Linked DNA regions of Cricetulus griseus. The protein of the gene in region 1 purifies or fractionates together with the protein of each later gene. This does not show direct contact. Links are inferred from orthologs where the notes say so. Each region holds a gene or a part of one and is shown on either strand. Other genes may lie near its edges.

Region 1 (3,511 bases):
TCCAGGGAACTTCACAAACAAGTACAAAGAAGGTTATACATAAACAGCTGGAAGGCTAACTGAGGTGGGTGAGCACTACAGAATCCCCAGACAAGACGAGTCTAATTCCCGGCAGGGGACTCAAGCAATGTTCAGATCTGTAAAGAGTAGGACATTACAGTAGACAATGGCAAGCTCAGGGAGCACTCATGGGTGCTATTCTAGGAAAAGTATTTAGAACCTAAAAGGAAGTGCAGGAGTGACAAAAAGATAAGAAACGGCAGGATTCCTGCATGTTATCTGTCTTCAAATTTCTCTTCTCTCCCTCTCCCCCTCTCTTCTCCCCCTGCCCCCCCCCACACACACACACAGATCATATCCCTGGGGAGCCTGAGGTTCAGAGGGATTACTGAAGCAATACCAGCAAGGGCTGCTGGAATGGCTAGGAGCAGGATTGGGGGTGGGGGGGCCACATTTGACTATGCTATACTGCTCTGCAGTGACCCCTTCTGGAGGTGTCTGAAGGCACACATTGGAGCTTAGGGGGAATTACTACAAAGACAAAAAACGAGTTTTGCCCCACCTAGTTGAAGTACCTTAAATCGTGTTCCAAACCAAAACGACACAATCACGTCTCTGTTGAGCTGGGCCCAGACGTAGAGCACGGACATGATGAGGGGGATCAGCAGCAGCTGAAAAAGCCAACATGGGAGCCTCTGAGCGCGCCAGGAGCTCGTGCCACCGGCTAGTGTCAGCCGGCAGGCCGGCCACACCGCCCACCCCAAAGGCCAACCACACCGCCCACCCCAAAGGCCGGCCAGCCACACTGCCCACCCCAAAGGCCGGCCGGCCACACTGCCCACCCCAAAGGCCGGCCGGCCACACCGCTCACCCCAAAGGCTGCAGAGGACACTCATTAAAATCACGTTCATACAATGAATCCCATAAAAATATCTATAATCAATAGTTAATGTTCTTACATGAAATCAAAGCCATCGGTGTAAGCTGTAATTGGGGGAGGGGGAGTTTTCCTTTCACATATAATCTGTTTTCAAAGACTACCTAACCTCACACTTACCTAGGGAATACTGCACACCCATTACTCTGAGTGCTCAAGCATAAGTCAGAAATAAACAGAAAAGCCAATGATTTAGATAACGCCTACAAGAGCCTCAGAGGCTAAGTTAACAGCATATTCAAGATAACAATAGTTATCATTTTATACGGTCAATGTAATTAACCTCAACTTCTGAAACACACAGAAGAGCAGAGAGTTGAGACTTACCTGCATATCCATTGCTAAGCCCGTAATCTTGGTTTTAAAGTTAAAGATCATATGTAGAAAGTATTCTATGGATATCAAGGTTGATCTGATTATTTCTCTCCAGTGGAATTTCAGTATACTGTTCCAAAGGAGAACATTTTTCTATCAGTTGGATTACTTACGACCATATGGGAACACACAAAAGTTCTGATAACCAGGCATAAATATCCCACTACCCTGTACAGTCAGCAGAGCAGGAGACACAGACATGAACACCGCAGCACAACTTGGTCCTTTTGGTACCCTGCTACTGTTTTAGCATCTCTCCTACAAGTACAGGGTAGAGATGTCTGTGCATTTGAAACAAATGATGCTGCTCATGCTCAGGGATTTACAGCATGAATAAACCCATAACTTTTTTTTTTTTCTCTTCATTCTCTTAAAGGAGAGCGTGTATCCCTCGCCTTATATTTTTCTGGCTCTTGGCCAACTTTAAATGGCAGTCAAGGCCAACTGTTTGCTTATCAACTGTGTCTCGAAGAGAGATGGACTATGCCCAGAGTAGGGGACCTTATGGAGGTACTAGATTATTATTTAGGACTCAAAAGGCATACAGCAATGAAGTCAGAAAATTAATTTTCTGGTAAGAGCCACAGATTTCAAAAGCTGTCTCATGGCACCGAGTCTCTGTGCTTCAGCTGACAAACTGTCATCCAGAGAACACAGAGAACTGGACTCAAGGAGACAGCAATAAAACTCAATTGAATATGGAAAAATCCCAGAGGCAATGCTAAGAGGAGGCATCTCCAAAACCTACAATTTACCCTAGCTTTAACTACAGTTTTTAAAATGGTATTAAAAGTGATTTAAATGTTTTTATAAAATTCTATTTCCCAAAACGTTAAAAAGGGGGATGGAGGAGCTCATTTCCGGGCCAGAATAGCCCTGAAGGATACCACGATGCAAATCCAGTTAAAGAGGAGCATGAACAAATAGTCTGCTGGCCTCCCGTCAAAAGCTCCTGGAAACAAACACAAGGCAAGCATCAGAGTGCAGAACTGTGGAAAAGAGTAGCATCTAGGGAGAAAATTCTCCCCAAGATCTCATTTAAAACATTTAACATCTCTTCTTTAAAGAAAAGTGAATTTTTTCCAAAGTTTATAGCATGGCAATAAAAGTGAACCACAGGCACATGCTCTACTGACTGACTTCCAGAAAGCTAAACCAGACCCAAGGGGACAGTCATCGGGACACCAGTGAGGCCCTTTCACTTTCCTCATGACCTGCCGGCTTTGCCTTCGTGGCCCTAACATACTCTAGTGAGCACACCTTGATACGAGCTTACTTCCTGTCCTCACTTACAGACCAAAGCTCGTCAAGACCCTTGTCCATTTTGGCTGCCACTGTCATTCCCGCAGCACGACTGTGCTGGAAGTCCGCTATTATGACAGGGACATTAGCTGCTGCTGTTGTCACTACTAACACCAGACAGATGCACTGCCACTTGTCCAACCCAGGGCTGACACTCTGAGCAGATTCAGCCTCTATTACAGGGTCTTACAACCTGGAACAAGGGAAAACAACCAGAAGAGAACGGACGGACAAAGGAATGGCCAGACCTCTCCACAACTGACTTTCTCCACAGGGCATCTGTGAGGTGCAAGGGACAGGTCTATAGCCCCTTACTTCCAAGTGAGAAAATAAAGTCACCCGACTCAAGTCACACACTTGTCGGAAGCATCATTTAGTGCTTTTGTGCCTGCACTGTTGCTAAGAATGCTTCATTCCTAGGGAGAAAACCCAACAGTCAGCTCTCTGGTCTAGGGACAAATCCTCACACCTCAGTCAGGGCACTGGAAAAGAAGCAGAGGAAGATACAAAAATGACCAGAAAGTCACTCCAGCTCAAAAGCTGCCTAAAAGCTACCTTCTCTCCTGCACACTCTACAAGACACAGGCAGTCAAGTTTTCAGGCCCCTAAGACAGGAATCAGAAAGACAGAGGATGGGTCTTAAAGAAAGAGAAAAGAGGGTGACAGGGTTTGCAGTGTACACCTGCTGGAAGCTGAGGACGGCAAGGAGAAGGCCAGCCAGGGCCATATCACACAGCAAGTTCCTGTTCTCAAGACACAAGATGGAAAGGAGGGCAGAGGAAGGAGGGACCATCCTCCGCTCGTCCTCTGCTTTGCCTCCCTCTCGCTCCTACCTCAAAGGCTCAGCAGTAAGGACACTTAGCTCAAGGCTCCCTATAATGAAATACAGGTGAGATC
Region 2 (4,251 bases), on another chromosome or scaffold:
CGTGCCTGCCAGAAGCTCACAGGGTTCCTTATCCTACAGGCAGCAGAGCCTGGGCTCAGAGCAGGTCCTCTGACCTGGGGAGAAGACCCTAGGACTGCTGGGACCTGGAGCCCCACTGAGGAGTGACAGACGAACAGAGCCTTCTGCAAACCTGCCCAGGGTTCTCTATTGCTGGCCCCTTGCTGTTTAGGGCTGTCCATGCAGACTATCCTGGGCTCTCCTATAAACTTCTCACCTCAATCTCTACCATCAGCTGTGGCCAGGGTTTGAGACCAGTCTTGGTTCTTAGTTCAGTCATGATGTATGCTAGCGCTGCTGACATTGCAGCCCTGGGCTGTGGGTTAGAAAATACTATGTCCTCTGGGGATGGGAGTCCCTCCAAAGCAGGGCCTGGGCTCTCTCACCAGGAGCTCTGTCCCTCCCCAGACTCTACCTGGCACTGTCTGAGATGAAGGTTTATTTTAGCTCAAGGTTATGCACTTAAACTGTGGCCCTGGGATAGAGTCCACCCTCTGGCAGCACTTTGTGACTTTTGGGTCAGGATTGGACACTCAGGGAAAGGTCTCTGTCTGGGGAGTCACCTTGTGTGTCTGTTCTCCAGGAACTTGGAAATGATTTCCTTGTTGAGAGTTTGCTCCAGATGCTGCATCTTGCCTTCATCAGGCAGGATGAAGATGGCAGTGGCGTTGCCCAAGTAATCCATCAGCAGCACCCAGCTGGACAGAGTGCTGCAATGGTGCACATCAAACATGCCCAGGCGCTTCATCATGGGCACCTTCACCGTGGTGCTCTGGTCCACGTGGAAGTCAGCTTCCTCAGTGTTCTCTGCCCTGAAGGGCTTCTTCCACTTGCCTGCAGTGTATGGGAAGTAGGAAGTAGGAAGAGGGCTCAGCCAGGGAAGTGGTGACCCAGGGCCTTGACTTTTCACAGGGGACCACTACTAGACTTCAAAATGCCCAGGGACTTTGATGAGGGTAACTTGGGACTAAAGGACTCACACTTTACAGATCACAGAAGCTCACAGCTACCATCCCCATTGTCTAGAAAGCATTTCACCTGTTAGATGTGTTACATGCTTACTGAAAGGTGACCTGGGGTTATAAGTGGAAATCTTGACAGCAATTCTATTTGCTAGCTTCTTATCAGGGTGGCATGCTCATTGGTAAGTGTGAGTTCAGTTGTCACTCAGGACACCTCAAGTCCCTTTCTACATCTATGGGTTCAGTGTAGATGGCCATTTCAAGTGTAAGAACACCATCAAGGTCATTGGAGTGGGTAGGGGTCTCGGGGACCCATCACCAATGCTGGCAGAGTAGGCAAGGCCCTCAGGGATCCACCATAATGGCCCTCAGAAGGAGCATGGAATCAGGAGCCCTAACCCTGCCTTATTATTGGATAGGAAGAGGTTGGGGAGGAGTTAACATCTGCCCTTGTCACAGAAGAGCCAGGACTTGAGCTATGCTGACCATGGCCTGATATTCTGCTCCATAAGACTCTGCTTAGAGGCAAAGGAGCCACGAAGGGCAGAGAAGCTCCTGACTTTGACTCCCAGACCCTCCTCAGATGTTTTCTCTGGGGTACAGGTGCTTAGCATAGAATCCTGACCTAACCACTTCCAGGCAGGAGGCTGTGGCTAGGGTCAAGGAGAGTTGATCAAGTGCTTACATCCAAACCGTCCCTGTGTATACTGTATTTACTAATTCTTTCATCACCTCACAGCAGTTGGCTAGCTTTGTCCCTGGCCATATGGACAGCCGTACCCCAAACATGTAAAATGGCTTGTCCAACATCAAGACAGCAGTAGCAAAATTTAAGCCCATGTTTCCAGAGTTCATACTGGTGTGCAGCAAAAGAGCTGCTCAAAATACGTTTCATGGAGCAGGGCTCTCTTCATACCACCAGATACACTTGGTTCTGAGGTTGGGGAAGAATCTCGTGTTCTGAGACTCCTTCGTCGGGGTCTTCAGTGAGCACGAGGACAGTCAGTCCTTCAAAGAGGTCAGTGGATTTGATGGTTGACAATTCCCAAACTTACTGATGATTTAAAATATGACAGAGTGTACCCACTGGAGAGTCAGGGATGTGATGGGACAGAGTGACACAGCCCAGAGTGAGAGCTCAGAAACCATGGATGAGTGTCTCCATGAGAATCAGCTGGAGCTGGTTATGTCATCTTACCTTTAAAGAAAATGTAATTCACCATGGCAAGAACTGTGTCTTTGTCAAGGTCCTTCACTAAGTCAACTATCTTTCCCTGGGTTCCCTTCTCCACAAAAGCATTGATCACTTTCTTGGCCTCTTCCGAGTCTGTGAAATTGAGGGAGAAGGCTTCTGAGTGGTAATTGTTCTTGGCCTCTTCCAGGAACGTCGCCACCAGCTTCAGATTGTCGTGGATGAACAGGCCATTGCCTGTGGTCAGCTGAAGCTCATTGTCTGGCTTGTTGAGGGTCTGGAGGACGTGATGGAAGCCCTTGTGGATCTCACCCTCTGCTATTTGTGTGAGGTTGAACTCCAGGCCTTCTAGAATCTGGGTGTGAGTGGCACCCTTGGTGCCCAGAGAAAGCATAGCGAAGGCTGTAGCAATGCTCACGGGGGAGAAGAAGATGTTGGTCGTATTGGACTCATGGACCAGCTCCCGGTACAGGCTTAAGGCGAAGTCTGCCAGATTTGAAGCGATCTTACAGCAGGCTTGGTGCTCCTGATCCTGCTGGGAGGCATCTGTCTCCTGGGCATCCTCAGCCAGGAAGCTGGGGACCAGGCAGCACAGGCCTACCAGCAGCAAGATCCCCCTTGAGATGGAGGACATCATTCTTCTGCAAGACACAGAAATGCATGTTGCAAGGAATCGAGGCTGTGGTGACTCCCATCAGCTAACATTTGGCACAATACAAAAGCAACCACAGCCTATTAACGGCTGCTGCATGCCCAGCCTATATCAAGCACTATTTCAAATTGCTATAATTGACAAGAGACTGTTAAAAAGAAAACTAGAGGCATTTCTGTAGATAAAGCACTTGTTATGTAAGGGTGAGAATAGGAGTTTGGAAAATGTGGGCAGAGTAGCCATCTGTAATCCAAGCATGGGGGTGGGGGACAGGGCTGGGCAGAGATGGGATCCTTGAGGCTAGCTGGCCGGCTTGTTAACCAGAAGCTCTGAGCTCTTGGATCACTGAGAGCTCAATAAAGTGGAGAGTGGTTGAGGAAACCACCCAACATCAATGTGAGCCCCCCGTATGCACATGCGCACAGCACACTTCCGCACACAGGCTCACACCTCACAGGCATGTGTGAAAACCAAGTGAGGGAGCGAGAGCAGAGGATCAGACTTTTTTCCATCTGCCAGTGCTGTCCTGAGTCCTCCCATGTGTGAACTCCCAGGGTCCTGTAGGGAGATGATCACTCCCCTGGTAAGGGACATGTTGACACACATTCAAAGTCAACAAACAGCAAATAACACAGCAGGTCTAAGTCACACACAAGGAGTGGTCTGGTGCCTGACCAGTACTCTCATCAGTTCAAGTTCCACCAGCAATGACCTCGAACCACAAGCCCCAGCCCCATTTTACAAAGAGGAAACCAAGGCCTGGGGTGAGAAATGGACTTGTCAGTAATGACAAGGGGAGCAGGGGGTGATCTGGACTAACAGTCGCTTGAAGGTGGGGAAATCATGAGCTCCAGAATCCGGGTGCAGCTGTCACCTCTGTTCCCCAGAGAGACCATGTTGAAGGTGTGGTGATTGTCACAGGAGAAGAGATGAATGGGCACACGGGGAAGTCTAAGGCTGTGAAGAAACCCAAGCGGGCTGGAGAGATGGCTCAGCAGGAAAGAGCCCTTGGTGCTCTAGCAGAGGACCTGGGTTCGAGTCCTAGGACCTATATGGCAGATTACAACGTCCCTGTAGCCAGTTTCAGGGTGTCTGGTGCCTTCTTCCGGCCTCCTCAGTCACTGGACACGCATACAGTGTACTTACATACATGCAGGCAGAACACTTCTACATGTAAGATAAAAATCAGTCTATAGAGGAGAAGGAACACACAGACTGTCCCTACTCAGTGCCCACAAGGAACCTCAGTCCCTGGTGGCTTTCCCTGAAAGAGGGACTGTCACCATTCTACCCTGTGATTCCAGCCCCAGGCTGTGTTGGCTCCCCCTCTGGCAGCCCATCTGCCATCTTGACACCACTCCTGTCTCAGTTCTGGAAGAGCAGAAGTTACTGCCTCTGCTTTAATTCTGGGAGAGGATGTGTGTGAT
Region 3 (4,279 bases), on another chromosome or scaffold:
AGGTCGTGGAGCCCTCCCCGCCCTCCCCGCCCATGTCAGGAGCACAGGAGCACAGGAGCACATACCCCGAGCCCTCCCCGCCCTCCCCGCCCTCCCCGCCCTCCCTGCCCATGTCAGGAGCACAGGAGCACATACCCCGCGCCCCGCCCATGTCAGGAGCACAGGAGCACATACCTGATGAAGACAGGGCCAGCTGCACACGGAGGAGGAGAGAAACAAAACTCATCACATGGCAGAAAACAGCCGGCACCCTGTGCCCACTGCAGCAGCCGCCCCGGTACTGCGGCTGTTTCTGCCTCCACAGCCTGCGGTCACCGAGGGCATCCTGACAACCGTCCTCCCGACAACCATCCTGCCGACAACCGCTCTCCGACAACCGCTCTCCCAACAACCGTCCTCCTGACAACAGCCCTCCCGACAACAGCCCTCGTCCCCAGGGCCCCAGGCTTCTCCCGTGCAACACATTGTTTCTGCTCCCTCCCTCCCTCTGTCTGCACACACACAGTGACACACACACACACACACTGACACACACACAGTGACACACACAGTGACACACACGCACACACACTGACACACACAGTGACACACACTGACACACACAGTGACACACACACAGTGACACACACACTGACAGACACGCACACACACACAGACACACACACTGACACTCACACACACTGACACACACGCACACACACTGACACACACAGTGACACACAGTGACACACAGTGACACACACACACACACTGACACACACACAGTGACACACACTGACACACAGTGACACACACACAGTGACACACACACTGACAGACACGCACACACACACAGACACACACACTGACACACACACTGACACACACGCACACACACTGACACACACAGTGACACACAGTGACACACACGCGCGCGCACACACACAGACACACACACAGTGTCACACACACACGCACACACACACGCACATACACACACTGACACACACACACTGACACACACACAGTGACACACATGCACATACACACACACACTGACACACACTGACACACACACTGACACACGCACACACACACATGCACATACACACACACACACTGACACACACACAGTGACACACGCGCGCGCACCTCCCTGCCTCAGCCTGTCTATTTTCTGCCTCTTACCCTGATTTCCCAACTCAACAGGGTTCTCTTCAGCCCCCGCTCCGTCCTCCCTTACAGCCCTGCTGCTCCTCCTGTCACATCAGGCGCCAAAGTCCCTCTGTCTGTCTGCCCTTCACAGGGCCTCTGCCCTCCGGCTTCACACCCCTCTCACGTACGCACACACTCTGTCACACAAGCACACAGACACACACACAGTCCCTGTGTCCGGCCGTCCTCTGACGAGGAGCAGCTCCCCTGACCGGAAAGTCTGTCCTGTGTGTTTGTGTCAACCTCGGGCTCGGCCACACCTCAGCGTCCCCGCTCCCACCCCACCCCCTCCCGACACCCTGCTTTCCCCACACCGGGACCCCAGTGCCCACCTCAGGCCTCCCGGGTGTGCGCCTGTGTGGTGTGTGTGAGTGTGTGTCTGTGTGAGCGTGTGTCTGTATGTGTATATATGTGTGTGAGCGTGTCTGTGTGTGTATGTATATGTGTGTCTGTGAGTGTGTGTCTGTGTGTCTTGTGTATGTATGTGTATGTATGTATGTGTACGTGTATGTGTGAGCGTGTCTGTGTGTGTATGTATATATGTGTGTGCGTGTCTGTGTGTATGTATGTGTGTCTGTGTCTGTGTATGTATGTATGTGTGAACGTGTCTGTGTGTACATGTATGTATGTATATATGTGTGTGCGTGTCTGTGTGTATGTGTACATATGTGTATGTGTCTGTGTGTCTGTGTGTATGTATGTATATATGTGTGAGCGTGTCTGTGTGTACGTGTATGTATGTATATATGTGTACGTGTGTGCGTGTCTGTGTCTGTGTGCGTGTCTGTGTGTATGTGTATGTATGTATATAAGTGTGTGCGTGTCTGTGTGTGTATGTATATACGTGTGAGCGTGTCTGTGTGTACGTGTATGTATGTGTGTGCGTGTCTGTGTGTACGTGTATGTATGTATACGTGTGAGCGTGTCTGTGTGTATGTATGTATATAAGTAAGTGTACGTGTGTGCGTGTCTGTGTCTGTGTGCATGTCTGTGTGTACGTGTATGTATGTATATAAGTGTGTGCGTGTGTGTGTATGTATATGTGTGTGCGTGTCTGTGTGTATGTATGTATATAAGTGTGTGCGTGTCTGTGTGTATGTGTGTGTATGTATATGTGTGTGCGTGTCTGTGTCTGTGAGCGTGTCTGTGTCTGTGTGCGTGTCTGTGTGTATGTGTGTATATATGTGTACGTGTGTGCGTGTCTGTGTCTGTGAGCGTGTCTGTGTGTATGTATGTATATATGTGTGTGCGTGTCTGTGTGTATGTATGTATATATGTGTACGTGTGTGCGTGTCTGTGTCTGTGCCCGTGTGTGACGGACGGCTGCCCTCTGCCCTCTGCCCTCTGCCCTCTGCACACCCACCCTCCCTCCCTCCCGCGCTCCGCGCGGCCCTCACCAGTACAGGTGTCCGCACACGCTGACCACAGCCTCGCGAGCGGTCTCCAGACAAATATTACATTCGAAGGTCGCGCCCGCCCCGCCCCGCTCGCGGTTTGGGCCTTCGGGGCCCCCGTCCTCGTCCTCCGCTGCTGCCATGGCCGGTTGTGCTTCGCCCCCACGTCCCCCTCGGCACCCCCAGACACACACACATAGACGCTCACACAGCGCGCACACACACACCCCAGCACGCCAGGCCCGCCTCCTGCCCACGGTCGTTGGGCAGACTTCAAGGCTTTCTCATGACTATTGGTCGAGGCGCCTGCCAATCATGCAGGAGGCAAAGGACGGGATTGAGCTACAGGGCGGAGGCGGGAAAAGGACGTGTGGGTCCCGCCCTCGCACGATGATGATTGGCTGGCGAAGCCTCAGTCACTATGCGGTGCCGAGGGATTGGTAATAATGAGCTCGGCCAGGGAGGTCTTCATTCGTTTACGCAGCTGCCCGTCAAAGCCACAGCTCTGACGGGATTGGCTCGGGCCGGCAGAACTCGCCCACTAGGAGCCGCTCTCTTTCCTTCTCTTCCGCTTTCGAAGAATGTCCGGGTTCCTATTGGACTTCAGAGCGTACGGTTCCAAGTCCGATGATTGGCTGGCACGACGGGGGGCGTGGCTACGGGAAACGAGCATGCGCAGTAGGCGGACGGGGTGGGAGGGCAGGGGCGGCGAGCGCGCCAACCCGGCGAGAGCGGAGTCGCCGGCGGTCCCCCCCCCCCCCCCCCGTTCAACTCCATCCCGTCGCCATGGCAACCGCGCCGCCGCTGGCGGGGGGCCGAGGGTTCGAAGGCCTCGGCTCGGCCTCATCCGGGTCCTCGGACGGGGGCTCCCTCCCGGCTTGATTGGGCGGTTTGCTTCGCCGCTGATTGGCCGAGGCCTGCAGAGGAGCCGGTGCTGAGCTCGGGAGAAGAGGGCGGCGGTAGCGGGGTCGCGGGGTTCAAGATGGCCCCGGGCTCCCTGGGTGACGCAGAGGGCAGCGCTCGGGTCCGCCCCGCCCTCCTCGGCAAGCAGGGAGCAGAGCTGGGGTTCGCCCGGCGAGTGGATGGTGCGGCCGTCGGCGCGCCGCGCTGGTGTTAGCCCGGCTCCCGCGGTTGGACGGCTCGGCCTCTCTAGGTGACCGCCACAGCCGCCCCCGGTGTGATGTGACCCCGGGAGGGCCGGCGCCACCGTCCGAGAGTGGGCGTCCGGGGGCCCGGCCCTCCCCTCGGGTGGCCCGCGGCAGGATGGAGTAGGTCCGCCCCTTCCTTGTCACTTGCCCTGCAGAGTTTTGGATCTTTTTCCTGGCCGCACAGCTCCGAGAGCCGGGGCCCTTCCAACAATCAGTGACCCAAAGTGTGTGGTCCAAGGCGCAGAATTAGGTAACAGTCCTCCCACCACGCCGTGTGGACTCATCCAGGGCAAAGGTGTCCCGGGGCGGGAGACACACACGATAGAAAGCGCCCGTGGCTCCAAACCCCGACAGGTGAGAGCCTGGCGCTCAGCACAGGCTTCGGGGAGCCAGCGGGGTCGGACACACTGACTGAGGTGGGGGGGGCGAGCCTGACACTGATGGAGGCAGAGGGGGCGAGCAAGGGGCGAGCCTGACACTGATGGAGGCAGGGGGGCGAGCCTGACACAGATGGAGGCAGAGGGGGCGAGCAAGGGGCGAGCC

What was found.
Region 2: the proteins of derlin-1 (region 1) and Serpina1 purify together in Homo sapiens (affinity purification with western blotting; 4 studies listed by BioGRID). This does not show direct contact. The link is inferred for Cricetulus griseus from reciprocal best matches to the Homo sapiens genes DERL1 and SERPINA1.
Region 3: the proteins of derlin-1 (region 1) and Rnf5 purify together in Homo sapiens (affinity purification with western blotting; 4 studies listed by BioGRID and IntAct, with this or other methods). This does not show direct contact. The link is inferred for Cricetulus griseus from reciprocal best matches to the Homo sapiens genes DERL1 and RNF5.

What each region holds. Positions count from the first base shown.
Region 1 is NC_048603.1:29,780,652-29,784,162, reverse strand, and holds part of derlin-1, read right to left. Parts: intron 2,265-3,511; coding exon 2,200-2,264; intron 1,292-2,199; coding exon 1,265-1,291; intron 672-1,264; coding exon 576-671; intron 1-575. UniProt on the Homo sapiens protein: Functional component of endoplasmic reticulum-associated degradation (ERAD) for misfolded lumenal proteins. Forms homotetramers which encircle a large channel traversing the endoplasmic reticulum (ER) membrane.
Region 2 is NC_048598.1:190,875,285-190,879,535, reverse strand, and holds the start of Serpina1 (alpha-1-antitrypsin), read right to left. Parts: upstream 2,810-4,251; coding exon 2,179-2,809; intron 853-2,178; coding exon 582-852; intron 1-581.
Region 3 is NW_023276806.1:231,214,330-231,218,608, forward strand, and holds the start of Rnf5 (E3 ubiquitin-protein ligase RNF5), read right to left. Parts: upstream 2,810-4,279; 5' UTR 2,732-2,809; coding exon 2,592-2,731; intron 194-2,591; coding exon 175-193; intron 1-174. UniProt on the Homo sapiens protein: Membrane-bound E3 ubiquitin-protein ligase that mediates ubiquitination of target proteins. May function together with E2 ubiquitin-conjugating enzymes UBE2D1/UBCH5A and UBE2D2/UBC4.